Linked DNA regions of Rattus norvegicus. The protein of the gene in region 4 interacts with the protein of the main gene of each other region in a pairwise test. Links are inferred from orthologs where the notes say so. Each region holds a gene or a part of one and is shown on either strand. Other genes may lie near its edges. The genes, in order: Hspb8, Nfix, Crx and Qrich1.

The links.
Region 1: the proteins of Qrich1 (region 4) and Hspb8 interact in binary tests that used the Homo sapiens proteins (3 or more experiments, as listed by UniProt). The two-hybrid records come from large-scale screens. The link is inferred for Rattus norvegicus from reciprocal best matches to the Homo sapiens genes QRICH1 and HSPB8.
Region 2: the proteins of Qrich1 (region 4) and Nfix interact in binary tests that used the Homo sapiens proteins (3 or more experiments, as listed by UniProt). The two-hybrid records come from large-scale screens. The link is inferred for Rattus norvegicus from reciprocal best matches to the Homo sapiens genes QRICH1 and NFIX.
Region 3: the proteins of Qrich1 (region 4) and Crx interact in binary tests that used the Homo sapiens proteins (3 or more experiments, as listed by UniProt). The two-hybrid records come from large-scale screens. The link is inferred for Rattus norvegicus from reciprocal best matches to the Homo sapiens genes QRICH1 and CRX.

Annotation. Positions count from the first base shown.
Region 1 is NC_086030.1:45,834,552-45,842,554, forward strand, and holds the start of Hspb8 (heat shock protein beta-8), read left to right. Parts: upstream 1-2,756; 5' UTR 2,757-3,116; coding exon 3,117-3,483; intron 3,484-8,003. UniProt on the Homo sapiens protein: Involved in the chaperone-assisted selective autophagy (CASA), a crucial process for protein quality control, particularly in mechanical strained cells and tissues such as muscle. Displays temperature-dependent chaperone activity.
Region 2 is NC_086037.1:40,256,392-40,264,362, reverse strand, and holds the start of Nfix (nuclear factor 1 X-type), read right to left. Parts: upstream 3,986-7,971; coding exon 3,959-3,985; intron 1-3,958.
Region 3 is NC_086019.1:85,670,515-85,677,738, reverse strand, and holds part of Crx (cone-rod homeobox protein), read left to right. Parts: intron 1-3,729; 5' UTR 3,730-3,761; coding exon 3,762-3,861; intron 3,862-6,297; coding exon 6,298-6,449; intron 6,450-7,224. UniProt on the Homo sapiens protein: Transcription factor that binds and transactivates the sequence 5'-TAATC[CA]-3' which is found upstream of several photoreceptor-specific genes, including the opsin genes.
Region 4 is NC_086026.1:118,094,373-118,102,377, forward strand, and holds the start of Qrich1 (transcriptional regulator QRICH1), read left to right. Parts: upstream 1-1,538; 5' UTR 1,539-1,888; intron 1,889-2,603; exon of another isoform or gene 2,604-2,667; 5' UTR 2,668-2,727; intron 2,728-7,989; exon of another isoform or gene 7,990-8,005. UniProt on the Homo sapiens protein: Transcriptional regulator that acts as a mediator of the integrated stress response (ISR) through transcriptional control of protein homeostasis under conditions of ER stress.

The DNA.
Region 1 (8,003 bases), on a different chromosome or scaffold from region 4:
CCAAGCAGAATGGAAGAGTAGGCGTTTCTAGAAATGGTTCTTCCCAGATCTGAGCTTCCAGAACATCCCACCTGGAGAACAGAGCATCTAGACATTTGCTATTATTCAGAGGAGAGAGAGAAACCCAGCCTGGTGCTAGCTGACAGGGGAGGCTGAAGCAGGGAACTCACAAGTTCAAGGCCAGCCTAAGCTGAGAGTGAAGTCAAGGTCAGCCTAGGGAGACTAATAAGAGGCTACTTGAAAATAAATAAGGAAATAAAAGGGTCTCTTTACCTGCTTGCATAACCCCACTTACACACACACACACACACACACACCATACATCACACACACACACGCACCATACATCACATATACACACCCATACATACATCGTACATCATACACACACATCATATATCACACACACAGGCACACACACATCATACCTCACACACACACATCATACATCACACACACATAAACATATGCACACACATCATACATCACATACACACACAGACATACACACACACAAACATGCATACGCACACACACACATCATACATCACACACACACATCATACATCACATATACACACACATACACACATCGTACATCATACACACATATTATATATCACACACACACAGGCACACACACATCATACCTCACACACATATCATACATCACATACACACACAGATACACACACAAACACGCATACACACACATATACACACACATATCATACATCACACACCATACATCACATATACACACACATACATCATACATCATACACACACATCATATATCACACACACACAGGCACACACACACATCATACCTCACACACACACACATCATACATCACACACACACATAAACATCCGTACACACATCATACATCACACACACACATAAACATACGCACACACAGCATACATCACATACACACACAGACACACACACAAACACACACACACACACATTACAGATTAGGATTCCCCCTATGAGGCGTAGCATAGTAGGATGACATAGTAACATCTAGAAAGAACATCAAGACAGGGCCATCTTAGGTAATGAGGAAGGATAGATGTAGGCGAAGGACACATAAGTCATGGAAGAGGTTAAAAAACATTTTTCTCCCCGAGTTTCCACCCCATGATCGACTTTTTTTTTCTTCTGTATGGTGGAGCTGTGGATAAAGCTGCGATTGATAGTTAAAGTGTAAAACACATAAGAAAGCTTCGGCGTGGCTGTTCTGAGTACGGAGTTCACAAAGTGGGGCTCCAGGGCGTGGCTGCTCTGTGTACAGGGGTTCGCCGAGATGGAAAGCATTCGGGACTGAGCAGGTGTTCGAGTGGCTATTAGCTAGCCTCAACCTGTTGTGTGATGTTTTTATTTGTGAACCCACCTCGATAAGTGATTTTACAAAGGGAGGAGGGTTGACGGTGCAGCTCGCTCTGTGGTGAAATGCTTTCCAGCATGTATAAGGCAGTCAATAAAAAAAAAAAAAAAGGTTTCTGATGACTTATGATTGTTTACTCTCCTGCCGAATGGGACAGTGGTAAGCTCGCAGCTCTCAGTGCGCAGAGGGGGAGGATTCCACCAGCTAATGTTTACGAAGCACTTGAGAGCAAACATTATGCAACCAATAAGTTGAAAGTCGAAAGCCTAAAAGCATAGACTCCTCTGCAAAGTCTATGACCTCATGCATTCCTGATGACGAGTCCCAGAGCAGGCTCCTCTCCTGCCCCACTCCCTCAGGTGGAAACCAGGCGGCTCAGGCATGCCTTGGAGTAATATTGCCGCTGATCGAAATTCTTCCCTTGACCAAACTTCAGGCAGACTCCTCCTCGGAGGCCCAGGGGTGTGTTCTCTTCACCCGGTTTTAGCAAGAACATGTCAGTTCAGCTGCAACCCCCATAACTCCATGTGTGATCACCCCCTCCCATGCCTGATCAGTTGCTCATCCTCCATTGACTTTCAAAGCAAGGTCTGGCCACCCGAGTCTATCCATAGAGGAATTCAGTTAGATCCGTTTATCTGGAATTCCCTCTGGTCCCTGAATTCCCCTCAGTCATTTCCCATCCGTTGACCCCCATTCTGCCTCCAGGCTGTGAATCCCCAGTGGCTCAGGCTGTGCTGGAAGTTGAGCTCCATCTGTTTTCTCACCCCAAGACCTACCTACCCCAATAGACTCTGCCTGACAACGTCCTGCTTTTCATAACGTAAACTGTCATTTAAAAAACAAACATCATTCTCAGAAGTCTGAGGCTGTAAGACTTGGGCCATACTGTAAGAGGGGATTCCGTGTGCTTCTCGATCCAATGAGGGGTCATCTCTCCTCTTCTGTGAGTCCCCAGAGTGGGAGGCAAGACAGAACACGTCTGAGGATGGTATTTCCAGAGTGTGACCTGAGCCCTCAGCCAGGCGGAGGGTTATTAATAGTCTGGTTTTAGTGCCCTGCGGGGCACTGGTGCCTAGAGTGGACGCTGCTGGAGGCAGAGGGAGGGCGGGGCGGAGCCGAGCAGGAGGAGGAGATCGTGCCTGAGAGGCTGGCTGGACTCGGACGCTACGGCCCCTCCCAGCTCCCCACCCGCTCCCGGAGCCCAGTTGTTCTCTCAGCGGATTCTCAGGGACTGGTTCATCACCTTTGAATACTCCTGTGACAGGAGGCGCTTGCAAAACCCGCCCCCAGCCCCCAGCAGCAAATAAATAGAAGGCTCCCAGCCCAGAAGCCAGGAGAAGTTTCTAGGCGCGTGAGTCCCCGAGCTTTTATTAAACTCCTGGCTGCGCTCAAGACCTCAGCAGGCTTTGGCTGGGAGCCGGGGCAGCCTGGGAGGAGGGCAGTCGGTGGCTTGCTGATAGCCTGGTGAGGTGGGACTGAGAGAGGCCCTCTGGGATTCTGCTGGGCCCGATTAGGTGGTCACCTTTGTGAGCCAGGACCCCAGTGCAATTCTGGGCAGCGGATGTTTGGGCTTGTGGCTAAAGGAAGATCAGCATTTTCTGAAGTGGAGAATTAAACTCTGAAAGCCATCTCAAGCCACATCACCTTGCTGTGTGACCTTTGGGTAGGTGGCTCCGTCTCTCTGAGCCTCTGTTTCCCCCTCTAAGCTCAACAAACACCATGGCTGACGGGCAATTGCCTTTCCCGTGCTCCTACCCAAGCCGCTTGCGCCGAGACCCCTTTCGGGACTCACCGCTCTCTTCCCGCCTGCTGGACGATGGCTTTGGCATGGACCCCTTCCCAGACGACTTGACAGCCCCTTGGCCCGAGTGGGCTTTGCCTCGGCTCTCCTCTGCCTGGCCTGGAACCCTAAGGTCTGGCATGGTACCCCGAGGGCCTACAGCCACAGCCAGGTTTGGGGTACCTGCTGAGGGTAGGAACCCCCCACCCTTCCCTGGGGAGCCCTGGAAAGTGTGTGTCAATGTGCACAGCTTCAAGCCGGAAGAACTGATGGTAAAGACCAAGGATGGATACGTGGAAGTGTCAGGTGAGTGACGGGCCGGCAGGGTTGTGCCTCTGTGTGTGTGTGTGTGTGTGTGTGTGTGTGTGTGTGTGTGTGTGTTGCGTGCTCCCATGCCTGTGCTCTTATGCGCGTGCTCCCAGGTTCATCCCAGAAAGAGCTTCAGGAGAAGGGACTTGTGACAGACAACATGGCTCAGGTGACCTCAGGTCCCAAGAATGCAACCCACAATGTTATCTTCAGAGACAAGTGTTTCTCAATGGGTGACGGAATGAGCGTGGATGTGATGGAGTAGCTGGGGTCCTCAGGACACCGTGCCCCACCCGAGAGCCGGCAGAAGCCAGGCTAGATGTTTCGAGGTGGACAATTTAATATAAAGACCAGATGAGTGCACGCAGGACTTCTGAAGGCACGGGGAGAGGGGTTAGCACATTCCAAAGCCAGGGGCACAGGAGCCAGGGTCAATGCAGTCACCAGATGAGGAAATGAAAGCTGGGGTGGTAATGTCAGCAGTAGGGACCTTATCCTAGGTGGAGAGCTGTCTGCCAGGCACCACGCCGAACCGTGTCCTCAGTGCCAGACAGCACCTGTGTTAGTACAACCAGAGGACATGGCTGGTGCGTCCACATCTCCCTTTTGTACTTTAGGAAACTGAGGCACAGAGAGGTTTGCATAGTTTGCTCAAAGCAACAAAGGGTGCCAACCCAGACTGCCTTGGGAATTGGGGTGGAAGGGAATATATATACATATATATATGCATATATATATGAATATATATATGAATGAATGAATGGCAGTCATCCCGACTGTCTACTCCCCTCTTGCAGCTGAGGAGGCCCAGTCCCAGGCCATACAATGAGTCAGCAAAAAGACCAGAGTAGAGCTTAGGCCTGGTCACCATGCTAGGCCCAGGGCTTTCCTTACCCCATTGCACTCTGGGAGAAAGAATACATACACAGGGGGCAAAAAGAGGAGACAGGAAGCTTGGCCCCTGGTAAGCTGGGCCTCAGCAAAGCTTTCTCCTGCCTCCCTCCCAATTAACAGGCCATTAAAAGGAGCTTGTTCTTGGCAGAGGCCTGTCAGCCAGGCAATCAATAACCGCCACTCTGTAAGCATTATCTGGGCAGGGACAAGTCCGAGCAGTGTGCGAGGCGGTGTCTTAAAGTCTCTCCGAGTACAACTGTAAACATCAAACGCCGTGGGTGTGGGAGTGGTGGGGCAGGCGGCACTCAGGGGCGCGTGCTGACGTGGGTGTGGGCTCTCTGCACTGGCTGGCGAGCCAACCCTCGCTAGCCAACGGGACGGCTCCTTTTCTCTTCGGCTGTCTCGTTCCTTTTCTGGGCAACGAGCTCCCTCCCCGTGGGTCCTCGGGAAGGATGGCGGTAGCCCCAACATATCTTTTATCTATATGGTAAATGCGCAGATGGTGCTCAGGGTTCGGATGGTGAGTTTGTTCTTGTTAACAGCAGCCACAGCGGTGGCTGTGGTACGGGCACCTGGGAAGGTCCTAGTAATAACACGTGACAAACATTCTTCGAGACCTGGGTTCAAATTCCAGCCCTCCTGTGGGGTAGCAGCACGGTTGCAGACTAGGAAGTCTCTTCATCCCTCTGAGCCTCAGTGTTCCCATCTGCGCAGTGGGAATCGGGACCATTCCTGTCAGGCAAGGCTAATGGGAAGGTGTAGTGAATGCAGACGATCTATCTAGAGTGTCAGTGAAATGGAGTTAATAGCGCGTCCTGCTGACCGAGCCCGTCACCACCCCGCCCTGGTTATTTTAATTATGGTTGTTTAATCCAGAGGCTCCCAGATCACCTACACCCTGCAGTCTCTTCTCCATCCCCATTAGAAGGTACTCCTTAACAGGTGGAGTCTGGCAGCCACAGGCTGAGATCTCAGCCACGGACCTTAGTGATCCTGAGGTTCCGGGTGTGCCCCAGACCCCCGATGTCTCTGTCTGTGAGACGGGAACACTGGAAACTAACACACAAAATAAACCATGTCCATGATGCGCAGCTAGACTGTGGCCCCAGCTCTAAAGACTCCGAGCCCACAGAGAGTGAACGATGACAAAGCTTTCTTTCTCTCATGAAAGGGGTTTGAGAACTAAGATCCGGGGCTCCCTGCAAAAGCAAAGGGAAGTCGGGGAACAGAGTCAAGGACAGCTACAGTGCAAACAAGAACCTGTCCTTCTGCAAGCAGGTTCAGGCTGGACCTTTGCTCAACCTCCAACTAGGCTGGCTTACTGGTTACTCTTGATGGGTTTTTTTTAAAGGAGTGTGGGTAGGCTTGTAACACCACCCCTGCCCATTTTACAGATTGTGAAACTGAGTCCTAGGAAGGCTAACTCACCCAACAAAACCAACCACCTGCTTCTTCTCTCGTAGTACCTAATACTTAAAGCCAGGCCTGCCCGGAGGTTCATAGGCTTACTCTAGCTCTAACTGGGAATCTACTTTTAGAACACCCCACTCCCAACCTCTGGCCTCTGTTTCAACGCTGGTCTCAGAAAGAGGTTAGGGCAGATTTGTCATCTGCTTCCGGATGTCTGGGAAGTGGAGGAAAGGCTATTTGGAGTTTTGAATGATTCCAGATGAGCCAAAATCATGAGTAAGCCTCCTCCTGGTGCAGGGCTTGGAGCCTTCCGTAGTCCGTGCAGTTTACAGACCTGAGGCGGGGTCATGATTTCCATCGCACCTGGCAGTCTCCTGCAGACAGCAGCCAAGAATGATCCCTTCAAGGGTTACTGGGCCAGGCTTTGGCTAGGGGAAGCCTGGAAAGGCTTTTGTCTTGTCCCCAGGCCCTCTGCTCTGCCTGGGAATAGCACCTTTCTTTGATGGGTCTGAGCACTTCCCCCAACACCAGCGTTTCTCTCTCAAAGCCACAGCTTTCTAGAGCTCCTAAGAAACATCACAGCCATGCTGTCCTGGGATGGCAGAGGCGATCTTTCTGTACAGACAGCCATCTTCCCTTCCTTCTGATAAATAATATATATTATGCATAAACAATTTAATATCATTCACAAATTTATTTTTATGTTAATAATTATATAGAAACGATTATGTAAAATATTTGTGTTAATATACAAAATAAGTGTATTAATAAGCAATAATATAAATTATATAGTAAAACATAATGAGTTATGCTTGCTGGTGTAAACATTAGACACACAATAAGCCAGGCGCGCATGCAAATGATATGAAAACGATATGCAAATGACATGTAAATGAAGCACAAGAATGACCCACCTTCTTTAACACATTTCCAAATTACACATTTCCTTCCAGCGATCTTGGAGTCTTTCCTGCTCAGAGACCCTCGTTCCTTCTCCTCAGCCTGAACCTCATTTTCAGAGCCTGGGCAGGATTCATAGACTTCTGAGGATCCCCATTTCCAATCTAAACATTGATGTGAACGCCAAGGTTCACCTGTGCATCTTGCCAGGGCCGTGTGACTCACTCCATTGTGTCTCCCAGAGCTCCAGTTAAGGCCGTTTTCACAACGTTTTAGAGACTACACGGAGGGCCAGAGAAGGGTAGAGCCCTGTCAGGAAGTGTTATCTAAGCAGGGATTGACATCTGGCTCTTGGGACTCTGCCCACCTCTTCTTCCAGATCTTTGCTCCATGACTTCTGGGGTCACTTGATCAGGTGTGTTCAGGGCAACTCGGCCTCTCTGATTCACTGAGAGTCTCTGAATTTTAGCTTCTCTATCCACTCAGTGCTGGCAATGAAGTCCCTGCTTAAAGGAGTTGGCATTAAGTAAGTTGCTGAGAACAGAGGCCCAGCCTACATGGGTATCCCTTGGCTTACGATGGGACCAGGGCCCCCAGAGACCTCATCTGAAACCCAAAGTATCCCAAGTTGGAAATGTAGTCACTATGCTGACCTACCGAATGCCGTGGCAGAGCCCTGCCTGTCTGAAACTGGCTCTACTGTTTAATACTGTTTAGGCAAAATTATCTCACCCAAACGCTGACTTTGTTTCAAAGCATTGACTATCTCGTGTCAGTTATTGAACGGACACACAGCAGCAGCATGGTAGGCAGAGTGGAGAAGAACTAGTTCAAAGACTGTACGTTGCTGATGTCTGTTGAGCTGACGGTTAGACCTTCATCTTCTTCACCACTGCCTCTGGCAGTCATGAGGCCGGCAGAAGGAGGAGAGGGCTCAGAAGAGCTGAGTCAGAGGCTCTGGCCTGTCCCCAGTGGAAGCAGGCTCCTCAGAGGCCCTGGCCTCAGGGAGGGAACCAGAGAACAGACCGTGCTCTTAGGACCACAGGACCCTGCCCGTGCAGGGCAGGTAACTGTCACAGAGTTGAACAGAATGACCTCTGGGTTGATAGCACACCCACCCACTGGATACAGAGTTCTAGCCTCCAGACACAGCAGTTTAAAAGGTGAATTCCGGTCAGTATATCTTTCCTCCCTGTAGTGGAACAATAGTGACTTTCCTAAGGACCATGTAGTAATGTAGCTCAGCCCTTAGAAGGTCGCAGGCTTGCCTCAAATCCCAGAGATCACTGGGCTTGGTGTGAAGATCTGTCTGC
Region 2 (7,971 bases), on a different chromosome or scaffold from region 4:
CATGATCAACCTTCTCTATGCAGGCAGGGTCCGGATGATGACAGGGACACTTCTCAAGCACACATCACACGCCCAGCATGACAGTGAGTTGCATTACAGACTAAAAGATATACATGAACTTCACAGACCAGGAAAACCCTGTCCTTAAAGTCCCAAGACCAGGAGATGCAGAGAGGAAACTTAAGCCCCCTGCTGACTAGTCCTTGACCTCTGCCCCCACACCCTCCATCTGGCAGCCCCAGAAACTGCATAAGACACTCATGTCTAGGCCAAGAACCCAAGCTCCTTTTGGGGATGTATTATTAACTCAACCGAGCCATGGCTCTGAATTCAGCCAGGCCCACCACTGGAGCATTTCGCAGGACCCCAGTGTGGTTGGTACCCAAAGTGACCCAACCTGTGTTGTCTCATTTTTATGTTAGGGATAGGAGGTGTGTGACCACGGAGAGAAAAGCTGGCAGCTCCAGGCACGGTGGCTCACACCTGTGATCCAAGCTCTTAAGAGTGGAGACAAGGGGGTCAAGAGTTTAAGGCTATCTTCAATGCAGAGCTAGCCTGGGCTTCGTGTCCCAATCGAACAAACACAAAAGCAAAACTAGCAAGATAGAGCATGGTTCACCCCTGTAGCCCAGGATGACCACTGTAAACTTAAGGCCAGCCTGGGCTACACAGCAAGACATCCATTATCAACCAATGTAAAAATGAGCTGTGAGTACCAGTTGGTTCACGAACAAAGAGCAATCTACAGTTTACAGGGACAGAAGAATGGTCACAGTGAGCCAGAAAAAGCCAGACGCGGAAGAGAGGAAGGGCAGGCCCAGCTCACCTTCAAGAGGGTACACGGCTGTGCAAGATCATAGGTTCTACGACTACCATGGGGAAGCTTGGCAGAGGTGCCCGTCCAGGGGTGATCCCGTGTACGCCCATGTGTGTCATTGTGTGTGTTTGCAACTGTCTACATAGTAGCATATATGTTCTCTCGGCCAGGAGTGGGAAGGCATGGGTGTGTATCTAAGAATTAGAGAAAGTCTCGTTCACAACTTGAAAGCCAATGATGTCATGTCTCCATGTAAAGACGTATGCCCACTGCCCTCCGTCCTCAGCCTTGTGAGTACATCCACACCTGCTGTGGGCCCAGTTTGTGCCACGGGTACCGTGACTCTGTGGCATATCCACGCACGGCTTGCCTTGAGATTGATACGTGCAAGTGCTGGTGTTTAGGAACACAGGCACACGGTTTTGCCTTGGTGGCTATTTCACAGGGAGGTTTTCATGTCTGAACTTACATGAATGAATACATGTATCTCATCCCCAGGGGCACACGTGTGTTGAAGTGTATGACAAGAGTTATGTGACTAGATGTCAAGGTGAATACAATGTTTATGATCTCCCCTGGCAGCGATAATACGTGTGTGTGTGTGTGTGTGTGTGTGTGTGTGTGTGTGTCCCCGTTGTTGAGGGGCCCACCAAGTCCATCCGATTCCTGATGTCTACCTGAGACCCAGGCGTGTGGCTGTGAAGAGCTTCAGCAGCTCCAGCAATGACCCCACCCACCGCTGGATCAGTTTCTCTTTTCTAGGAGATCCTCCCCACTACCCTTCCTCTTGCCCGCCCCACCAAGCCCTGCTGCTCCAAGCTTGCTTCTGTTCAATCATTTATTGACTTTAAAATTGAAGCCAATTCTGGTTTGAAAAAAAAGAAAGAAAAGAGAGAGGGGGTAAGGGGGTATAGAGAGAGTCCAAGAGTGAAAGGGGGGAGGCCAGAGCCAACCAGAGACAGGGACAGCTAGAAATACAGAAGGACAGAGATGACAAGGAACAGACAAAGAGCGGAGATAGAGGAAAAGAAAGAAAGAAAGAAAGAAAGAAAGAAAGAAAGAAAGAAAGAAAGAAAGAAAAAAGGCCAGCCAGCGAAAGAGGTTGTTGGAAAAGCAAAGATGGGAGGCAAACTATGGCAGTAGAAAGGTTTGCGAAAAAGAGACATGGCGGAGAGGCAGGGACAGCCAGACCCTGATGACCGAAGGCTGCCAAGGACCCTAAGCAAAGGGGTTTCCCTGCCCACCATGCAGGGCTGGCAGACTGGTGAGATTGTGCCCACTCCCCTCCCAGGCAGCCTGGCATGTGCAAGATGTAACACGCACAGATTGGAGCCCGTATTCCCTTCTGGAGTGCCACAGAGCCAAGCCGAGGCCATCACCCCAAATCTGGGGGCCATCCCAGTCCCTCCGTAGCCTTGGCACCAGTGTATCAGCTGGTATTTTCTCTCCAACGGTGGGTGCTTCACCTGACCCATGGGTGAGGAGGGGGCAAGCCCAGATGTCTGGCGACGTTGGAGTGGAGGTAGGCTAGCAGCTTGGTAGATGAGGTAGCTGCTGGAACATGGGGTCTTTGTCCCACTACACAGCCATAGAGATGAGCAGATCACCAATCACCCTGAAGGTAGCCACAGCTCAGACCTAGATAGCTGACCAGGTCCTCCTGCGGGGAACCCAACATAGGGTAGCTGACAACTTGAAGGAACAGACCCATACTGCTATGGTGGTCAGATTGGCAGGGCAGGCGAGCATGGGCTCCTCCAGTGACACACACTTGCGTGTGATTTATACTGGAAGACACATCATCTCGCCCGGTCATCTGTGTTTGTGCCACGAAGTCTGGCCACTGCCAGCCTACAGGAGTCACATACAGATTCTAGACACACAGACACACAGACAACTAGTACCTGGGACTACAAGAGCGCTGAGTCGTTGGAACTGCAATCCACCTGCATATACCTTCTTGCCCTTCAAAACATCCTGGCATGCTCCTCGTATACTTGGTCATTTATATACACCATGGGTGTGTGTTCCCACTCTAAGGTGGTGGCACTTTCAGCACTCGTCTGAAAGGGCCCTGGCTTTAGCAAAGGGGGCCATTAGGGACTCAGGGTTGGCCTAGAGAGTTCCCACAGACAGGCCTGGCCAGCATGCAAGACTTAGACAACCTCTACAAATCCCCTCTGCCTGCTGAAATCTGTCACCTGCCCTGGTCTGGTTCTGCAGATAGAGCTGTGAGGGCCCCTCTAGATCTGGGCTGGTCTGGCTGGTGCCCTCTCAGAGCCTGGAGTCGCAGCTAGAAAGAGAGGGGTGGCAAATCAGGCATGCTCCAGGCCTCAGCCTCCGCTATACACTGCGCAGGGAACTTCGCTGGAGGCGGGACGCGTTCTCGCGCTCGCGCTCCCGAAGCACGCCAAGGTCGGCGCTGCTGTGCCCGAGGCTGACCCGACGGCTGATCCCAACAGGTTCGACCTGCGGTGGCCACCGCTGCTCCCCCCTTCCCGCCTGCGGGTGGCGGACCGGGATTCCTCCGGACACTTCCAGGTCCACGCCGCGGCGGTCCTGGTCTTTGAGACCGGAAAGTTTGCACGGATGAAAGTTTGGGGCCGGGGAGCCGCGTCTGCAAACGTCCAGGATCCGCAGAGAGGCGCGGCCCGGGCTGGCAGCACGCCCGTCCCTCCCTCCCCTCCCCTGCCCCTCCGAAATTTGGGAGCCCCGCCATTTTCTCAGCCCCGCTCCCATGCGAGGCCTGAACAAAGACTTTGGGGAGACGCCCGGGCCGCCCGGGGCACCCCAGCCGCACGCAGAGCAGCTGCCCACACGCCCGCCACTGCCACCCCGGGGCGGCAGCGCCGCGCCGCGCGCAGGGAACGCCGCCCGCCCGTGCTCCCCGGCGCCCCGGGGCCACTCTGCCTCCTGCCGCCGTGTCACCCTGCCCGCCCGCGCTTGCCACCACGCCGCGTCGCCGCGCAGCAGCAGGGGTCCGCTGTCCGCCGCGCCCCGCCGCGCGCGCTCGCCCCTCGCCCCCTCTCCACGCACTCCCGCCGCGCGCCCCGGGGCAGCGCCCCCGCGCCCCGCCCGCTGCCCGCGCGCCTGCGGGACCCCAGCCCGGCCCTCCCGGGGCGCGGGGGCGGCGGCCGGTACCTGGGTGAGGCAGTACGGGGAGTACATCGCTGGGCGCCCGGGCGCGAGCGCAGAGGCCGGCCGCGGCGAGGGCAGGCCCGGCAGGCGGCGTCGCGCTGGCTGGCACTCGGGCTCCGGCTCCGCTGCTCCGGCCTCCGCCGCGCGGCGCCCGCCCGGCCCGCGGCCCCGCTCGGCCCGCCGCCGCTCCGCGCTCACAGGCTCGGCCCCGCGGGCTCCGGGCCGCCGCCGCGCTCGCCGCTGCCTCTCGCGTCCGCCGCCGCCGCCGCCGCCGCCGCCGCGCGTCTACTCCATGCCGCCGCCGCTCGGCCGCTCGCCCTCGCCCGCCACCGCCGCCGCCGCCGCCGCCGCCGCGCTGTGAAAGTGAAAGTTTAGACAAAGTTTGGAAGCGGCGCACTCCGGGGAGAGGGAGCGGGCGGGCGGCGCGGGCGGGAGGAGGGGCGCGGGGAGGGGCGGGCGGGGCGGGTGAGCGCGGCCGGCGCGCACACACATGCACACACGCACACACGCACACACACATACACGCGGGGACGCACACCGACGCGGCCGCCCCGACACGTGCTGGCCGGCGTTCGGGCGCCGACACACGCTGACACGCAGCAGGGCTTGGACGGGCACAAATGTCACGAAGGAACGCAGGGACTAGTCCTCATGAAGTCACAGCAGACGGCGGTGCACACCGGGCACAGACACGAGCAAGAGCCACACACCACCTACTGTCACATGTCCCAATGCAGACCGACGCTGAGAGCCGCACTAACATACATGCGCGTGCCACACACGTCCCTGCAGAATACTGACACACACAGGATCACATAGCCATACCTTGTCACCCCGGACACACAAGGACACACCAACACACAGCCAAGCCAAAATATCTTGGAAGACAGCTGTGGCAACCCAGACACAGGGTGACACTGACACATGGGAGCCCCCATACAAAGGACACAAAGTATCACTGTACAGGGGCACACACTGCACGTATCACACATTGTGTTGCACAAATATACCCCAGGCCTAGGGTACGCTGATCTACAATCCTGATAGCAAAACAGTTGGCAGGTTCTGTGTAGACTCTCCCAAGTCAGTCAGTCTGTCTGTCTGTCTGTCTGTCTGTCTGTCTCTCTCTCTCTCTCTCTCTCTCACACACACACACACACACACACACACACACACACACACACACCACCCTTAGCCTTCATATGTCTCTCGTACCTTTGCACATATCCTGGGACTTAGGAACATTATCTGTATTGTGGTGAAGCTCCAGCCTCTGTTGCAGGCCCAGGACCCCCCACTTCCACTGGAGCTGGGAATAAGGTGGGGTGGGGCGGGGTGGTTTGGCAAATGTCTGCAATCCCTCCACTCAGAAGCTCCAAGAGGAAGGTTAAGACTGAGCTGTAAACCAGCCTGAGCTACAGAGTTTGAGGCTGGCTTGGCCTGTATACTGAAACCCTGTTTCAAAAAAAACAAGCAAGGAACAGAGGGAGAAAGGGAAAGCCTTCACAGAGAGGGAGGGAGGGAAGGAAGAAGTGGGGAAGACGGTGCTGGGCACTCTGAAGGAGGGCACAGAGAACTCTTGGGTGACCCTAGGTTGGGTGGGAAGGCTGTGCCTCAGTTCCCAGGCAGCTCCTAGCAAGGCACAGCTCCTTCCCATTGCCAGGTGCAGCCAGCACCTTGTCAGCCTCCTGAGCCAAGGAGCTGTGGCAATTCTCAGTAATGCATTGTCTAATGGGGGGTGGTATAGGTGCCCAGGTGTGCGTGGGTGAGTGTGTAGGGGCTGACAAGGCACAAGGATGTGCGTGCATAAATGTCCCTGAATGCTATGCCCCTTGTCCTAAAACCTCTGAGATAGGGCGGCAGGCGATGTGCCTGGGGTGTCTGGTGTGGGTCTGAGCAGGGCCAATTTTTTTTTTATACTCAGTATATTCTGAGTAGTGGCGTGGGTGTGGCTGTACCCATGGATGTGTCTGTGAGTCAGCAAAGGTGTCTTCCACCTCTCTAGGCGAAACACAGGGGACGTGGTGGGACAGGGAACACTGATCATTGATGGAGATATGAGTGTGACTGACAGGAGGTGAGGCCACAGGACACCGGGGTGTGTCCGCACTGACCCAACATATCAGTGCAGCCACACTGGAGATCTGTAGCATGTTTTCCGTGTGTGTGTGTGTGTGTGTGTGTGTGTGTGGTGTGTGTGTCCCAGCAGGTAAGTGTCCAGAGGTCACAGAAGGACTGCCTGTGAGAAGGCTTCACATGCATTTGTTTTCCTGTGGGACCCATCCAATAGAGAAGATCTGTGTGTACCAGAGCAGGCCAAGGATGGATGTCTGTGTCCAGGATATGGGTCTCTGTGTGTCAGCCCATGCCAGTAAGTGTACATAAGAGCATCTCAGTGGGGGATTGGGGATTTAGCTCAGTGGTAGAGCACTTGCCTAGCAAGCGCAAGGCCCTGGGTTCAGTCCCCAGCTCCGGAAAAAAAGAAAAAAAAAAAAGAGCATCTCAGTGGATAAATAGCTGTGTGTATCAGACAATGCTAACATGCCCAACTGGATGTGAGCATATGTGTTTGTGCACCAGGCATTGGATGCCTTTCTTGGATGCCAGGTATGTGCCTGTATGTTAGCCCATGTAACATATTTTATATGTTCAAACTCAAGGTCATCCTGTCTACACAGTCCATAGCTGTGTACGGTCAGAATGTATCAGGTATGTTTCCATGTGTCAGACCATGTCAGTGTGTATGTGTGCATAGCTGGTGTGCATGTGACATGCTGTGCTTCTGTGTCTATGTATGTGAAAACAGTGTAGGAGTTGGGGGTGTGGTTCCGTTGGTAGAGTGCCTTTCTACCATCCATGAAGCCCTGGCTTCAATCTCCAGTCATGGTGGCACAACCTTACCATCTCAACACTCTGAAGACAAAAAGGCAGGAGGATCAGAAGTTCAGGGTCATTCTTGTATACACAGCAAGCTGGAGGCCAGTGTGGGCTACTTGAGACCCTATCTCAAAACACAAAACTCCGTGTGTGTGTGTGTGTGTGTGTGTGTGTGTGTGTGTGTGTGTGTGTGTGGTGTGTGTGTGGTGTGTGTGTTGTGTCTGTCTGTCTGTCTGTCTGCACTAAGGACTGCCTGTCAGTGGTGGACATGCTTGCCTGAAGACCTCAGCCTGAATTCATCTGTGTTACTAAATAGATATGTGTGCTTGTGTATCAGAGAGCAGGGTCTCTGTGCCTGAAGCCATCCAGGGGGGATATGGTATGCCTGTCATTCTGCTTGGGACCATGGTCCCTGGGATCCCATGTGGTGGGTGATCCAGGCCTCTCCCTGCACCCACAGTATCTGCCTGTGAGGCAAGGATGAAGGAGCTGGCAGAGGGAGGGAATTGATATGTCCTTAAAAATTCAAGGGCTTCTCGTAAACAGAAACTTTTAACACCCGGTTAAAGTTTCAGGGCTGCCACAGAGGAGGGGGAGGGGCTCCAAGACAAGAAGGGGGCTGGAAGTGTGTGCTATATGGAGTTAGGGGTACAGTGAGAACTGGGGGCTGGGAGCGATTTGGGGACTAAAGAGGCCAGGGGAGCAGGATGGCCCCAGGAAGGGGAACCTAGGAGACCAGGAGACAGATGGATCCAGGAGGGGCCAGGACTGAGAAGACCCAGGATCTGGATGGCTGGGAGAAGAGACGGAAGATGGAAGGCTTGGAGGGGGGGCGTTTAACTCCTTCACACACACAGCAGACAACAATCCTGCGCGTACACACATACACAATATCTTGACTCAGACACACAATAACATAAAACCCCCCACACACACACATATATATATATATACACACACTCACTAAACATTAACCCACAAATACACATGCACAGCATCAACCTTTCACACACATACACACCAAACATCTACCCTTTACACACATACACACACCTCCAGACAACATCAAACCTTTATACACACATACTGCACAACACCAACCCTTCACACACATACCAGTTAACATCAACCTCTTACAC
Region 3 (7,224 bases), on a different chromosome or scaffold from region 4:
ACTTTATGGTAGTCATTTCAAGGTTGAACATCTGTAGCCATGCAGCCAAGAGTCACGTAGGCATTCTGAGCTATACAGTCACAAAACAGCCAGGCCCAAATCCAATACGGCTCCCTACTCTGCAACTTTCAGTCTTTGCCTTCCACACCTTTTTAGAATATGTTTTTATTATCAAAACTTACGGGGTTGGGGATTTAGCTCAGTGGTAGAGCGCTTGCCTAGCAAGCGCAAGGCCCCGGGTTTGGTCCCCAGCTCCGAAAAAAAAGAACCAAAGGAAAAAAAAATTATGTGTATGTGTGTGTGTGTGTGCACTAGTGTGCAGATGTATGTTTATGTGTGTGTGCATGTGTGTGTTTGTGGGTAAGAGTGCATATGTATGCAGCTGCCTTTGGAGGCCAGGAGTGTAGGATCCTCTGGAACTGAAGTTATATGTAGAACCACCCAACTTGGGAGCTGGGAACTGAACCTGGGTCCTCTGAAAGAGCAAGGAATGCTCTTAACTGTTTAGCCATCTTCTCCGCCCCTCTACTCCTCCTCCTCTTGTTTGTTTTTTTGAGACAAGGTTTCTCTCTGTAGTCCTGGCTCTCCTGGAACTCAATCTGTAAACCTGTCTGTCCTCAAATTCAGAGATCCACCTGCCTCTGCCCCCAAGTTCGAGGATTGAAGGCATGTGATGATACATCCGGCTCCAGCCCCCTCCCCCTTTTAAAAAAGATTAATTTATGTGCATATGCTTGAATATATGCATGTGCACCATGTACATGCAATGTCCACAGAGGAAGAGGGAATTTGATGTGAGTTACCATATGTGGGCTGGGAATAGAATCCAAGTCCTCTGCAAGAGCATCCACTGCTCTTAACTGCAGGGCTGTCTTTCCAGGCCCTATACATTATATGTTTAAAATTCTTTGTTTAAAAATCATAAACAGTGGCATAATGTGCATGTTGATAGCACTGGCTTTTATTCTTTGAATATCCATAGTATATAGTAAATATGTTCATAAACTTTATATATTAAATGGCACTAAATAAAAATATAACAAACATTATTAATTTATTTATTTATTTATTTATTTATTTTTTGGTTCTTTTTTTTTTTTTTTTCCGGAGCTGGGGACCGAACCCAGGGCCTTGCGCTTCCTAGGCAAGCACTCTACCACTGAGCTAAATCCCCAACCACAAACATTTTTTAGAAGATTCATTTATGGGCTGGGGATTTAGCTCAGTGGTAGAGCGCTTACCTAGGAAGCACAAGGCCCTGGGTTCGGTCCCCAGCTCCGAAAAAAAAAAAAAAGAACAACAAAAAAAAGAGATTCATTTATTTACTATATATAAGTACACCGTAGCTGTCTTCAGACACACCAGAAGAGGGCATCAGATCCCATTACAGAGGGGTTTCTGGGGTACCATGTGGTTGCTGGGATTTGAACTCAGGACCTCAGGAAGAGCACTCAGTGCTCTTAACCACTGAGCCATCTCTCCAGTCCTATAACAAACATTTAAGTGATCTATTATTATCTGTAATCTGGACATACAGTATATGTAACACATGCACTTAGTATCAAAGTGTGACTTTGACAATAATCTCAGCATTTGGTAGGTGGAGGCAGGAGTATTGCTATGAATTCAAGGCCAGTCTGAGCTATGTAGTAAGTTCCTGTCTCATTAATGGTACATCTAGGAGATAGCTTATTCAGTAACCTTCTTACTTTACAAGTATGAGGATCTGAGTTTGTTCCCCAGAGGCCAGGATAAAAAAAAATGGGCATGGTGTTGTGTTTGTAATCCCAATACTGGTGAAACAGAAACAGCTGGATCCCTGTGGCTTGCTGGCCAGACATCCTAGCTTACAGTGCGATTTCCAGACTAGTGAGAAACCTGATCTTAAAAACCAAGGGAGATACTGGGGATGAAGCTCAGGAGGTAGATTGCTTGCCTAGCATTTGTGAAGACTTGGGTTCGGTACCCAGCACTGCATAAACCAGGTATGGTGTGCTGACTTGTGATCTCAGCATTTGGGAGCTGGAGACAAGAAGATAAAGAGTTCAAGGTTATTCTCAGCTATCTGGAAAATCTGAGGCCAACCTGAGTTATATAAGACCTCTCAAAAATAAAATGAAGGGGTTGGGGATTTAGCTCAGTGGTAGAGCACTTGCCTAGCAAGCGCAAGGCCCTGGGTTCGGTCCCCAGCTCCGAAAAAAAGAAAAAAAAATGAAAAAACTGAGGTGGGTAGCCTGATGAATAAACTTGGGGTTGAATTTTAACTGCCCCTCCACTCTTACACACACACACACGTACACCCCATACATACAAACACAATCTCCCCCACATACACAAGCACACACACACCCTTATACACAAACATTCCTCCATACTCCCCTACAAACACTCCCCACAAACACACACACAAACAAACACATACACACCTACCCCTCGGGAGTGATGGCTAATACTAGTGGTCTCAAAATTTGTGAGGTGGAGGTAGGAGGGTCAGAAATACGAAATCAGCTTTGGCTATAGCCTTGGCTAGTTTAATGTCAGCTAGGGCTACATGAAACTCTATTGCACAAAATAAAAAAAGTACCTTTCTTTCTTTCTTTCTTTCTTTCTTTCTTTCTTTCTTTCTTTCTTTCTTTTGGATCTTGTGGCTTGGTCTATAATTGAGTGCCTTGCCAACAGCCAGGGCTGTAAAGGAATTTTAATCTAGCAACATGGCTGCTCTGGTAAGGGATCATACCCAAAGAAATAGGTCTATGTGATCTGGCTGGAACAGACACACCCTTAGTACACTCTTTTAATCCTTTTGGCTGGAATATAGATAAGCCCACAGGATACACCTTTAATTCCAAACAATGATGTCTAAATTGAAGGACTGACAAAATGATGAATCAAAGAAAGATTTGACAGAATGAGTCAGAGATAGTATATATATATATATATACCATAGTATATATACCTCCCATAAGAACAGACAGGAAAGAGGCTACTTAAGAACATTGCAGGGAGAGGAGTTGGATTGAGTTCAGTTGCATTTGGTGCAGTTCAGTTGAATGCAGTTCTGTCCAGTTTGTCAGTCAGTGAAGTCAGTGTAGTTCAGTTTATGGAGTTTAGAAGTTGTTTTCCCAAGCAGAACAATTCAGTCAGAAGCAGAAAGAAGCCAGTCTGAATCAACCAGCTTGTGGAGGTGTTTGAGCCAGACAGTCGAATTGAACCAGCTAGCCAGAATTCAGAAAGAGGTAGAAAGGGTGAACTTACTCAGTATGTCTTAGAGTTGAAATATTCTAGGCCTAGATTGAACAGATGGAGGCCTTCAAAGTTTGGGCTTGTAGAAGATTGGATTGTATGAGGGTTTGAAGCTTCCAGGGCTAGGCCTAGGGATAGTTAGATAAAAACACTCCCGGCTCAGCCCAAGTTGTGTATTCACACACCTTGGGTACAGCTCTCATCTCATCACTTCATCTGAGGAAATAAAAATGACAATTACACAGAGCTAGGAACTGAGGCCCTGAAACTCATGTAGTCCAGGATACCAGGATGGCCTCAAAGTCACAGAATTCTGCCTCCTCAGCTGGGAGAAAATGAATATACCACAACACTTTGCCTCTAAAAATGAGAGAGAGAGAGAGAGAGAGAGAGAGAGAGAGAGAGAGAGAGATTGATTTTGATGGGCAAGGTTGGTTGGATCCCAAAGAAGACCTGAAGTAGGATGAACACCCTGTTCTCTTGTAGGCACCCAATCTGGGCCCTAGTCTCTGAAGATCATGATGACGTATATGAACCCGGGACCTCACTATTCGGTCAATGCCTTGGCCCTGAGTGGCCCCAGTGTGGACCTGATGCACCAGGCTGTCCCATACTCAAGTAAGTGTGTTCTCCTTCTAACCTTCAGTCTGTCTTTTAAGAACCTCTGAGGTTCATTGCCCTCAGGAGAAAAAGCATTCCTGGGGTGGAGGGGGCAGTGGGAACTTGTACCAGCTCTATGTCCATTTGCAAAGGAGTTTGGTATTCCAGGCACTTTTACATGTTCCCCGGGAATTCAGAGGAGTAAATAGTCATGACATTGACTCCCTTTGGAGGGAGAAGAGGGAAAGGGAACTGGTCTGGAAGAAGAATCAGGAGGATTCCATCTCTTTGTAAAGCTTTTTCTTTTTCTCTTTTTGGAGTAGTGGTTGTTGGGCTGTAATCCAGGGCCTTGTGGCTTCTAGGTAGGCACATTAGCATGGAACTATGCCCCACCATAGCTGTAGTAGTCTAGGCAGGGGCTCTAACACTGAGCCACGCCCCCAGCTCCTCACTGGGGGATTCTAGGCAGGGGCTCTAACACTGAGCCACGCCCCCAGCCCCTCACTGGGGGATTCTAGGCAGGGGCTCTACCACTGAGCCACACCCCCAGCCCCTCTCTGGGGGATTCTAGGCAGGGGCTCTACCACTGAGCCACGCCCCCAGCCCCTCACTGGGGGATCCTAGGCAGGGGCTCTACCACTGAGCCACGCCCCCAGCCCCTCACTGGGGGATCCTAGGCAGGGGCTCTACCACTGAGCCACGCCCCCAGCTCCTCACTGGAGGATTCTAGGCAGGGGCTCTAACACTGAGCCACGCCCCCAGCCCCTCACTGGGGGATTCTAGGCAGGGGCTCTACCACTGAGCCACACCCCCAGCCCCTCTCTGGGGGATTCTAGGCAGGGGCTCTACCACTGAGCCACGCCCCCCAGCCCCTCACTGGGGGATTCTAGGCAGGGGCTCTAACACTGAGCCATGCCCCCAGCTCCTCACTGGGGGATTCTAGACAGGGGCTCTACCACTGAGCCACACCCTCAGCCCCTCACTGGGGGATTCTAGGCAGGGGCTCTACCAGTGAGCCACGCCCCCAGCCCCTCACTCTATATAACTGAGCATGTCCCAGCCTCCTGATTCAAGACTCTAGAGTGTTGAGATTTAAGTCCTTCACCATCATGCTCTACTATGATACATTATTATTTAACAGATCTCTCTCTCTCATTTGCCTTTCTCTTCTTTCTCTTCCTTTTTATTTCTTCCCTCTCTCACTCCCTTTCTTCCTTCATCCTTTCTTCTTTTCTTCCTTCTTTCCTCCCTCTCTTCCTCCCTCCCTTCCTTTCAACAGACTCTCACTATGTAGCCTTAGCCTGGAACTCACCATGTGGACCAGGTTTCTTTATAGATTGACAGAGTTCTGCCTGTTTCTGCCTCCTGAGTGCTGGAATTAAAGGCAGGAGCCACCTATCTAGCCTTTCTCTTTCTTTGAAGAACAAATAAAACACTATTTTTGCATGAAGGGTAGGGAGCAGGAGGGATGTTTGCCATGGCTCCCTTGTTGAGGTCTGAGCAACTTTTGGGAGTAGTTTTTTCCCTTCTATGTTGGGTCCCAGGGATTGAACTCAGGTCCTCAGGCTTGGTCACAAGTGTCTATACATGCTGCACCATCTTGCTGGCCCCCTTTTTCTTTTACATTAAGTTGAACCACTTTTATAAGCAGGAGTCATGGTTATTGATAACACCATGTCTCAACCAAATATATCTTAAGAGTATAAAAAGTTTCAAGAGACGGGCTGGAGAGATGGCTCAGCAGTTAAGAGCACTGACTGCTCGTCTAGAGATCCTCAGTTCAATTCCCTGTAACCACATGGTGGTTTACAACCATCTGTAATGGGATCTGATGTCCTTTTCTGGTGTGTTTGAAGACAACAACAGTGTACTCATGTACATAAAAAAATATTTAAAAAAGTCTCAAGAGGGGAGTCTGGTGCAGTGACTGTGCCCGCAGATATTTGGGAGGCTGAGGTAGGAGGATCTCTTGAGTCCATGATTTCAGGGCCAGTGTGGGCTATGTAGTGAAAGTCTGTTGTAATGAGAGAGAAGGGGAGGGAGAAAAGGGAGGGGAAGAGTAAAGGGAGGATAGAAGAGAGAGAAGGAGGAAGAGAGGAGGAAGGGCAGAGAGAGGAGGAGAAGGAAGAGAAGAAAGGGAAGGAGGGGTTAGGAATGAAACAGACAAAATGAGGGGCAAATCCAGTGAATGAATGATTGGAATACTTCTCTTAATTCCTCTGGGGACTGAGCCACCACTAGAAGGCCAGGGAATCAATCAAAGCCCCTTCTTTAGGCTGATGGATGTGCAGAAAGGACTTTGGGACAGGCATTCCTCTGTACCTCCTAGCCTCTAGCAAGCAGACCTAGCCCACCTGAGGTTCTTTTTTTTTTTTTTTTTTTTTTTTTTGGTCTTTTTTTCGGAGCTGGGGACCGAACCCACCACCTGAGGTTCTTTAATTTGCCCCCACTTAGGTGCCCCTAGGAAGCAGAGGCGGGAGCGGACCACGTTCACCAGGAGCCAGCTGGAGGAGCTGGAGGCCCTGTTTGCCAAGACCCAGTACCCGGATGTGTATGCACGTGAGGAGGTTGCTCTCAAGATCAACCTGCCTGAGTCCAGGGTCCAGGTAGGATGATCTGCTCCGTGGACCCCTTGAACCCTTACTGTAACCTTCTGTGGGCCCTTGTCAAATCCAGAGTGCATGAAGGAAAGAGGCCAAGGGTAGCATATTTATGAAATGGCCTAAATGCCCTTCACATTCCTTATATCACTCTTCTTATATGATGCCTTCTCACCACACTGTCCTCCAAGGGTTCTCCTTCCCTTTGTACTCTGTTTTCTTTCAGGGCCTCACATATGCACGTGACCTACCACTGAGATATATCATCATCTCTCTTGTTTTTTAATCTTAAAACTATTTATCTTGATATTTATGTATTTACATGTTTGTTTGTTTGTTTATTTATTTATTTTAGTTCAAGACAGGGTTCTTTTGTGTATGTAGCCTTGACTGTCCTGGAACTCACTCCATAGACGAGGCTCACAGAGATCTGTCTGCCTCTGCCTCCCGAGTTCTATGATTTAAAGGGGTATGCCACTGCTACTTGGCTAAAACTAATTTTGAGGCAACGGTCTTACTACGTAGACCAGTACCAGCAATCCACCTGCCTCTGGCTCCCAAATGCTGAGTGTGTGTGCATATTTTATTTTTAATTATGTTCATGTATGTGTCTGTGCACATGAGTGCAGTTATCATTTTAAAAAATTATTCTGGGGAGGGGCAAAAATTATTCTTTGATTTAGAAGAAGGGAAAGAAATATGGAAATGATGTATTATACTTTAGAAAAACTAAATAAGCAATAAAACTTTATTCTTTGGGTAATTTCATACATGGATACAA
Region 4 (8,005 bases):
GGCTTCCCCAGAAGACAGCCAGTCACAAAATCACTACTGCACTTCCTGGTTCTTAAAGGCAGGTGCATGGCTGCAATTAGGTCAGCATTTCCTATATGAACCTGGGAGCCCCAGACATGCTATTGCAGTTATCAGCTCTATGGAAGGATCTAGTTTTGTGTCTCTCTGGCTAGTCGGATCAAGAGACACATGATCCCCTGTATGATCATTCAGAACAAAACCTACTATTTAAGCATAGTTAACTAAAGTATAAATGTTGTGGCCTTTCAAGTTTGGAGGCCCCAGAAGACTCCCTGGATTCCTATTAACAGTGCTGAGATGGGATTCCTGACCATACCAGCCCTTAGGTTGGACTCCGTCTCAGAAACTGACTTGTGAGGAGTTTGAAGATGAGAGTTTGCTAGGACAGGAGCAAGTGCAGAAGGCACAAAGGTCTTCCCACAGGCTGAAGGCTTTCTGGGTTGCTGTGAGCCGCTGGTGAGGCTGTAGCTGAGTGCCTGCAGCTTTAAAGCCTTGCACATTTTCCCTGTATACAAACACTAGGCTACCCAAGGCCCGCTTTAAGGTGGACCTGACTGGTGAACTTATCTCAGATGATAGCTGATGGTGGGTGTTCCTGAAGCTGTCTTTTCCAGTAAGTACATCAACACCCTGAGCGTTTCCCAGAGGCGGTACAATTGTTAAAGTTGGGCCCAGCTTAGGGGTTTGAGAGGGGGCCACCTTAACCACGAGGCTGAGCTAGGCCCGGCCCCGCCTTGCGTGGAACTGTGCAAGTAGAGGAGGCGCTAGCGGGACACCGTAGGTGGGTTCAAGAAGCACGCTTGTAAACCTAGGACAGGGGCAAAATACCCCCGAGATACTGAACCCCAGGCCTAAGCTCCGCCCCGCATGGAGGGGTGTCAATGGGCGTGGTGCTCCTTCCCACAACGAGGGGTACGCTCTCAGCTCCAGCAGTCTCCCTCTAAGTCCGAAGCGTTCCCTTTAAGTCTGAGCGGTAGCTCTCGCGGGATCCGACGCTTCGACTCTCGCGAGAGAGGCATTCGGCTCCCATTGGCCGTGAGGGTTGAATGTAAGATGGCGCCCAGGGAGCTGTGAGGAGAAAATCCTGTCGGTCTTGGAGCAGCGGTGGCAGAACCGAGGCCCCAGGCGGTGAAGCGGGGCCGGAGGGTAGAGTGGAGGCAGCGGCGGCGGTGACGTCGCCGGGTGAGGGCTCTGGTGAGGGCGGGAATGCAGCAAGGCTGTGGGTCTGGGGCAGCAGGCCCACCCCACACAACGGCGGGCGGGGGCGGGCGGGCCGCTGCCGCTGGGCCCAGGCGACCTCGGGGCGGCTTCGGTACGGAGAACGTCCCTCGGCTCGCGTGCCTCCGCCCCGCGGGTGGGGGAGGGGCGAGCCTGAGGTTTGGGTGGGCGCGGCGGCACGAGCGCGCGCAGAGGCGCGCGCGCAAGAGCGTGTTTTTTTTTTTTGCGCGGTAACGCGCGCGCTGTGCGGTCCTCCCGTTGCGCGTAGCCGCCCGACGTGCGCGTTCCCGTTGGCTCTCAGCTGTGGCCCGTGGGCTAGAACGGCTTCCGGGGCGCGCGCTTCCCCGCGACCCCCAGTTTTGTGGCGCGCGCCCTGCTGTTGGTTTGGTTGCTCGCGCTGTCCGGAGTACGCGCAGGACGCCCCTTCCGAGAGGAGGGTCGGCGGCCTGGCTGACGACCGGCTTGCTGAGTGGGGAAGGTTGAGGGTTGGGCCCTTGCCCTCGTGACGTCCCGGGCAGCGGTGGCCTAGGTCTGCGGAGAAACATAGCGGCTTTGCGGTCTGGCTTGCGGCTCCGCTCCTCCGTGAGGCGGACAGGATTGCTTGTACTAACCGAAGAATGCTGTTACTTAAGCGAGGCCCATGTACTGGGTGGGTGCTTGGGGAGGGTGCTACTCTGCTTGGGAAACCGAGTCCTATTGGCCCGAGAGGGCATTGGGTCCCCAATGGGTTTCCTCACCTTGTACTGGTGCATTGTGCCGAGGAGAGAAGGTTAACATTGCAAGGCCCCGCTTTTCTTCCATTAGAAACCAATTCCTCCATAAGCGCAGTTGATACACGTCACCTCTGTGCGCTCCGGAAAGAGATCCTCCTATGTGTATGGTATCAAACCCTCCAAGCTCTAAAATTCCGCTTTAAATCCTGACTTAAATGCAGCCTTTTTTTTTTTTTTGTCACCCCCGCGTGGGTGGGAGGGGCTTGCTTTTTCTGTTCTGGATAAGGGCTGGTTCTTAACCTTGATTAACTTGATCAGTGCTTTGCCTTTTTTTTCTTTGTAAATTCTGAAATATCCAACAGAAAATTCTAAAATATGCCTGTGTCACTATAAAATCTATGTAACTGAAGTCCTTCTCAGCATTTTTTTAAAAAACATTTTGATCCAGTGCTGTGATCTGCTGTCTAGGAAATTCTAGGTTTGTGATGGAGAATACGCAGCTCTTTTTTTCTAAGACAAAACATCTGCTAGTTTATTTTACAGTTTTCTTACATTAAAGTTGAGAGAAAGCAAGCTAAAAGGATTGTTGCTTTTAGTAGCAGTCAAATTGGGTAGTAATGACTTTTTAAAAATATACTGTATTTTTTTAAGAACAAAGTTAAAACTTAAAAAGAGGCTGAGGATGGAAGGAACTTCTTTGTTCTATCTTCTTCAGAATGTTAGAAGTCTTAAGAACTCAGGACAAGCAGCAGACATACATGCAACATGGTGACTGGTGAGTTAAAAATCATTCATCGCTGGAAGTATGTGTGCAGTCCGTTACCCCAACCCTTTGGTAATACTGACATTTTACAAATTTTGTCATTCATTCTTGGTGTTGTCTGCCAGATACTGCTACTTACTAGAAAACCGCTGATGAGGGAAACTGTATTTGTTCATCAGGCAACGGTCCTTAAAATCAAGTCAATGGAACATTCAGGATTAACATTGCAAAGCATCAACTAAGAACCTAAATGGCTTTCCAGAACAACAGAAACAATACAACAACAAAATCTGTCTGTTTGTTGACAATGTGTTTATAAACTTTTTATACCATTTAAGCTTTCTTATTCTGGATTGCCTTTTTTTTAAAAAAACAGAAACAGTGTTTCCATCAACTAGTATTATTTACATGGTAGATAACTTCTAGTTCTCTGGGTTTTATACTTCTCCAAGAACTTACAAAGTTCACTTCTGTTTACAAAAGCTTGTGTTAATGTTTCAAACAAAACCTCAAGGAACAGTTGAATTTTGTTGTGAATGTTGTTGTGAATTTGAGTTACTTGAAAAATCAAAAATGGGTTGGGGATTTAGCTCAGCGGTAGAGCGCTTGCCTAGCGAGCGCAAGGCCCTGGGTTCGGTCCCCAGCTCTGAAAAAAAGAAAAAAGAAAAAAAAAAAAACCCAACACAAATCAAAACCCAGTTAGGGACTTTGGGTGTGGCTGTTCTCTTTCATAGCAGCTTCAAAATCAAGGATGTCTACCTATAAACTTGCATGCTTTTAATCAGTAGTGGTTTGTACTTGGTGTGCCTTGCTTCTTACCTCTGTGCTTTTTAAATGGCCACGCTTTTTCTGTGAATATTTCTGAATTGGCCTCAGAATGAGGTGTGTTACGTGAACACCTGTTCTTTACTTTGCTCTCTTGGATTTAGTTCCAGGTTTAAGACCTCTCTTAGCTTCACTATTTTCCCTATAATACTGTACTGTAATTTCTGTTTTTAGCAGGTTTTCTGTCTGTCTGTTGTTTAGTGCAGAGGATTGAACGCAGAGTCTTGCACATGCTAAGCATGCGCTTTACACTAAACAACTGCTCTGGTTCTGGGTTGTGATTTGTCTTTTTAAACTGACTTGGTTGCATGAAGAAAAAGATGTAAATTTTTGCAATCTTCAAAGGGGGAAAGAAATGGTTCTTTACCCTCACTAAGGTTTAATAACTAAAGGTGGATGAGATGTGTTAGAAAGCTGGTTCTTTTTTTCTTTGAGACTACGTTTTAGAAATTCTGACCTGTTGCAGTAGAACATGGTCATGGAACTTCTGGTCATGCCTCTTGCCTTTACAGTCCCTGGTGTTGGGATTATAGGTGTGCTGCCCACAGATCCATTCTGTGTGGGTTGCAGATCAAACCCCGAGGTTTGTGTATGCTATACAAGCACACTGTAACACCCGCCTTAAAGTTGTCAAAATACTTACACACTGTTTACAGTTCGGATTAGTGTAACTGCCTCTAAGAAATAGAATGTCATCAACCCCTTCCCTCTCATTAGTGTTTCAGTTCTTGGAGACAAACTTATTCTGATTCGAATAACAATCTCAATAATCTCAATCTCATATTCTCTCTCTCTCTCTCTCTCTCATGTCTATGGGTGTTTTATGTGCATATATGTCTGTACACCATTTCATGCAATGTCTTTAAAACTAGAAGAGATTAGGGTGTTAGATCCCTTGGGACTGGAGTTAGAGCCTGTTGTGTGCTGTTATTTGGGTATCAAACTCAGGGTCTCTTGAAGAGCAGCCAGTGTGCGAACTACTGCTGAACAATCTCTTCAGCTGGATAGACTTGTCTTTGTATTTAACCACCTTTGTATCTCTAAGGCATAGCTTTTGTTTTGAATTCCATGTAAATACACATTATGATTATTGTTTTCGAGACAGGATCTTAATATGTTACGTCTGGCTTTTCTGGAACTCACCTTGTAGACCAGGCTAGCCTTGAACTCATAGGCTATCTCCCTGCCTATGCCTCCCGAGCTTAGTTTATTATTGTGTTTCCCTGTTTTGTGCAGCTGTAGTAGTTGATGTTCATTTCTGTATTGTCTTGTGGATATTTCATTAAGTTTTCTATCTTACATTGGTAAACTTCTAAATTGCTTCGTTTATACATATCAGTGCTACTGTGAATATTTGCATATATTTGGATGTCATATACGTTATTTTCAACTTCACAAGCCAGTGTAAGTGGTTGTATTAATTTATAACCCATTAGTATTTAATTTTTTTTTTTTTTTTGGTTCTTTTTTTCGGAGCTGGGGACCGAACCCAGGGCCTTGCGCTTCCTAGGTAAGCGCTCTACCACTGAGCTAAATCCCCAGCCCCAGTATTTAATTTTTAAAAATTTACTTGGGGTTTGGGATTTAGCTCAGTGGTAGAGCACTTGCCTAGGAAGCGCAAGGCCCTGGGTTTGGTCCCCAGCTCCGAAAAAAAGAACCAAAAAAAAAAAAATTTACTTATTTTATGTATGTTAGTACACTGCTGTCCTCAGACACACCAGAAGAGGGCATCAGATCTCATTACAGATGGTTGGGAGCCACCATATGGTTGCTGGGAATTGAACTCAGGACCTCTCGAAAAGCAGTCGGTGCTCTTAACTGCTGAGCCGTGTCTCCAGGCATTGATTTTAAATTCTTGGTTGAAAGTGCGTGTTATTTAAAAATAGAAACATGATGGAGTGGCCCAGGAGAGAGTTTCTTTGACAGACTTTATAATGGGTTAGCATTTGTAAGAATAGAACTAAGTTTTCCACTCTGCGTCTTTGGCAGTGACACCTTACTTTTTAAGAGGTTTGAGGCTCAAAAGAGGCAAGACTGAGGTGACTCAGACTATAGTCTCTTAGAAGTTTAAAACCGGGGTTGGGGATTTAGCTCAGTGGTAAGGCCCTGGGTTCAGTCCCCAGCTCCGAAAAAAAGAAAAAAGGAAAAAAAAAAAGTAGTTTAAAGCCTCAAAAAAAACTTGGCTAGCCCAAAAGTAGTGAGTTAATTGGTTGCAGTTAGTCACAGACTGAACTTGTCATACCCTCTCTTAGTGCTGTACTTGACTAGTCAAACAAACAACAGAAGGCAGAAATGAATGACTCTAGGTGAGTACTGGAGTCATCTCTTAATACCTAAAGAGAAGAAGAAAGGAATTAGTGAAAGTGCCCTTGGAGATACTTTTTGAATAATCTTTTCCATGAATCTCATTGTGTTCTGGTCACAACATAATAGCTTGTATATTTAACTTGGTCAGGCATTGTGCTAGTACTAGCACTAGTGAACCTATCAGTCTGGTAACTAGCACATGACAGTATTGTGGGTCTGCTGACTGGAGCGTTTGTCTTCTACAGTGTCCTGCAAAGCAACTAGACTTGAGGTCTTTAGAAGCAAATGCTTGTTTAAGGACTACCTACTATGAACTAACTCTACTGTTTTCTTGTTTTCTATTGTTAATTTCATCTGACTTCCAGGTACTGGGGCTACTCAGCCTATTCTCATAGCTTCTGGATTTTAGAAGTCTTAACTTCTTTACTGCTTCTCACCGGGTCTTTAGCTTAGACTCTAAGGCACTAATTAGGAGTCTTTTGTCTCTGAGTGTTTGTCTATTGTGGAGGCTCAGCCTTTGTGTCTTGTGTGCAGCATCTTAAAGAATTTAACACCATTATTATGTAAATTTTTGGGACTGGATGATTTTGTTAAGAGTTGAAGATTTTTAGGGCAAAGCATATTACAAAAGAATTGTTTGCCCTACTGTTGTAATATAACCATAAAATAGAAAAGGATGACTTATTAAGTATCTTTCTGTCAATATAATTTATGGAAAATACAGTACAGTATTATACAAAAATTTATCAGCTAATACTGTTCTGATTTTTTTCCTTTTTTTCCCTCTTAACTAATGATACTAGGACATGTAAAATTGTATGAGGGTCCCCGTGTGCCCCCCCCCCCAAGCTGGGGACTGAACCCAGGGCCTTGCGCTTCCTAGGCAAGCGCTCTACCACTGAGCTAAATCCCCAACCCCCATTTTTTTTAACACATCCGATGTATGTTTCTGTGTCAGGAAATATTTTCAAAATTGTATGTAGCATTGAGGCAAGAAACATCTCTCCCTCATTCCATTGTGACATGGCTTTTTTCTTAGTTTAATTGAAATTTTTTTGGAGTCAGACTGATGTGTTCCAGGCTTGCTTAAAACTTGCTCTATAGGGGTTGGGGATTTAGCTCAGTGGTAGAGCGCTTGCCTAGCAAGTGCAAGGCCCTGGGTTCGGTCCTCAGCTCTGAAAAAAAGAAAAAAGAAAAAAAAAAAACTTGCTCTATATTATAGGTTAACATGTTTTCCAAAAACAATTATGGTTATATAGATGGCAGTGGGATTTTATTGAAAAGTTAGTAGGGATTTTGTTTGTTTGTTTGTTTTTTTGTGGTTTTTTAAGACAGGCTCTCTCTGTGTAGACTTAGCTATCCTGGAACTTACTGTATAGATCAGGCTGACTTTGAACTCAGAGAGATAAAGTTTCTACCTCTTGAGCACTGAGATTAAAGGTGGGCACCACTAAGCCTGGCTCACAGTATTGCTTTAAAATACACTTGGAAGCTAAGCCTATGTGTAGGGACTTGGATTTGATTTCCAGTCCGCCAGAACTCCACAGTCGGTGATAGCTTGTCTCAAAGGAAGTGTGTGTGTGAGAGTGTGTGTGTGTGTGTGTTTCTGTCTGCCTGTCTCAAATGAACTCTTGGGAGAGTTTGCCATATATGTGATATGTGTGTGTGTGTGTGTGTGTGTGTGTGTATGTATGTATATGTGTATATGTGTATGTATATATGTATATATGTGTGTATATATGTATGTGTATATATATATATTTTTTTCAAAACAGCATTTGTTTGTCAGGTTGAAGCTAGCTTGATGAACTTGTGTTTGTGGGATGTTGTAGTGGGATGGGTAGTTTTGAAGTTTGCAGTGGCCTGGAAACAGAGTCTCTATAGGCTACCAGCATATCCAGTGTGTTGTTTTCTTCTCTTTGTGGAAATAACTGTGTTTCTATAATATAAAGGTCTGTTGTGTTGTTATTTTTCTTTTTAAATCATGGGCCAGGTGTGATGCTATACGCCTTTAGTCCCAACACGTGGAAGACAGAGACAGGTGGATCTCCAGCCTGCTTTACATAGTGAGCTCCATGCCAGCTAAGGCTACAGAGTGAGACTCTCAAAAGGGTTTTTCTGTTTCTATATATCTACATGCAGGTGCCCACAAAAGGCA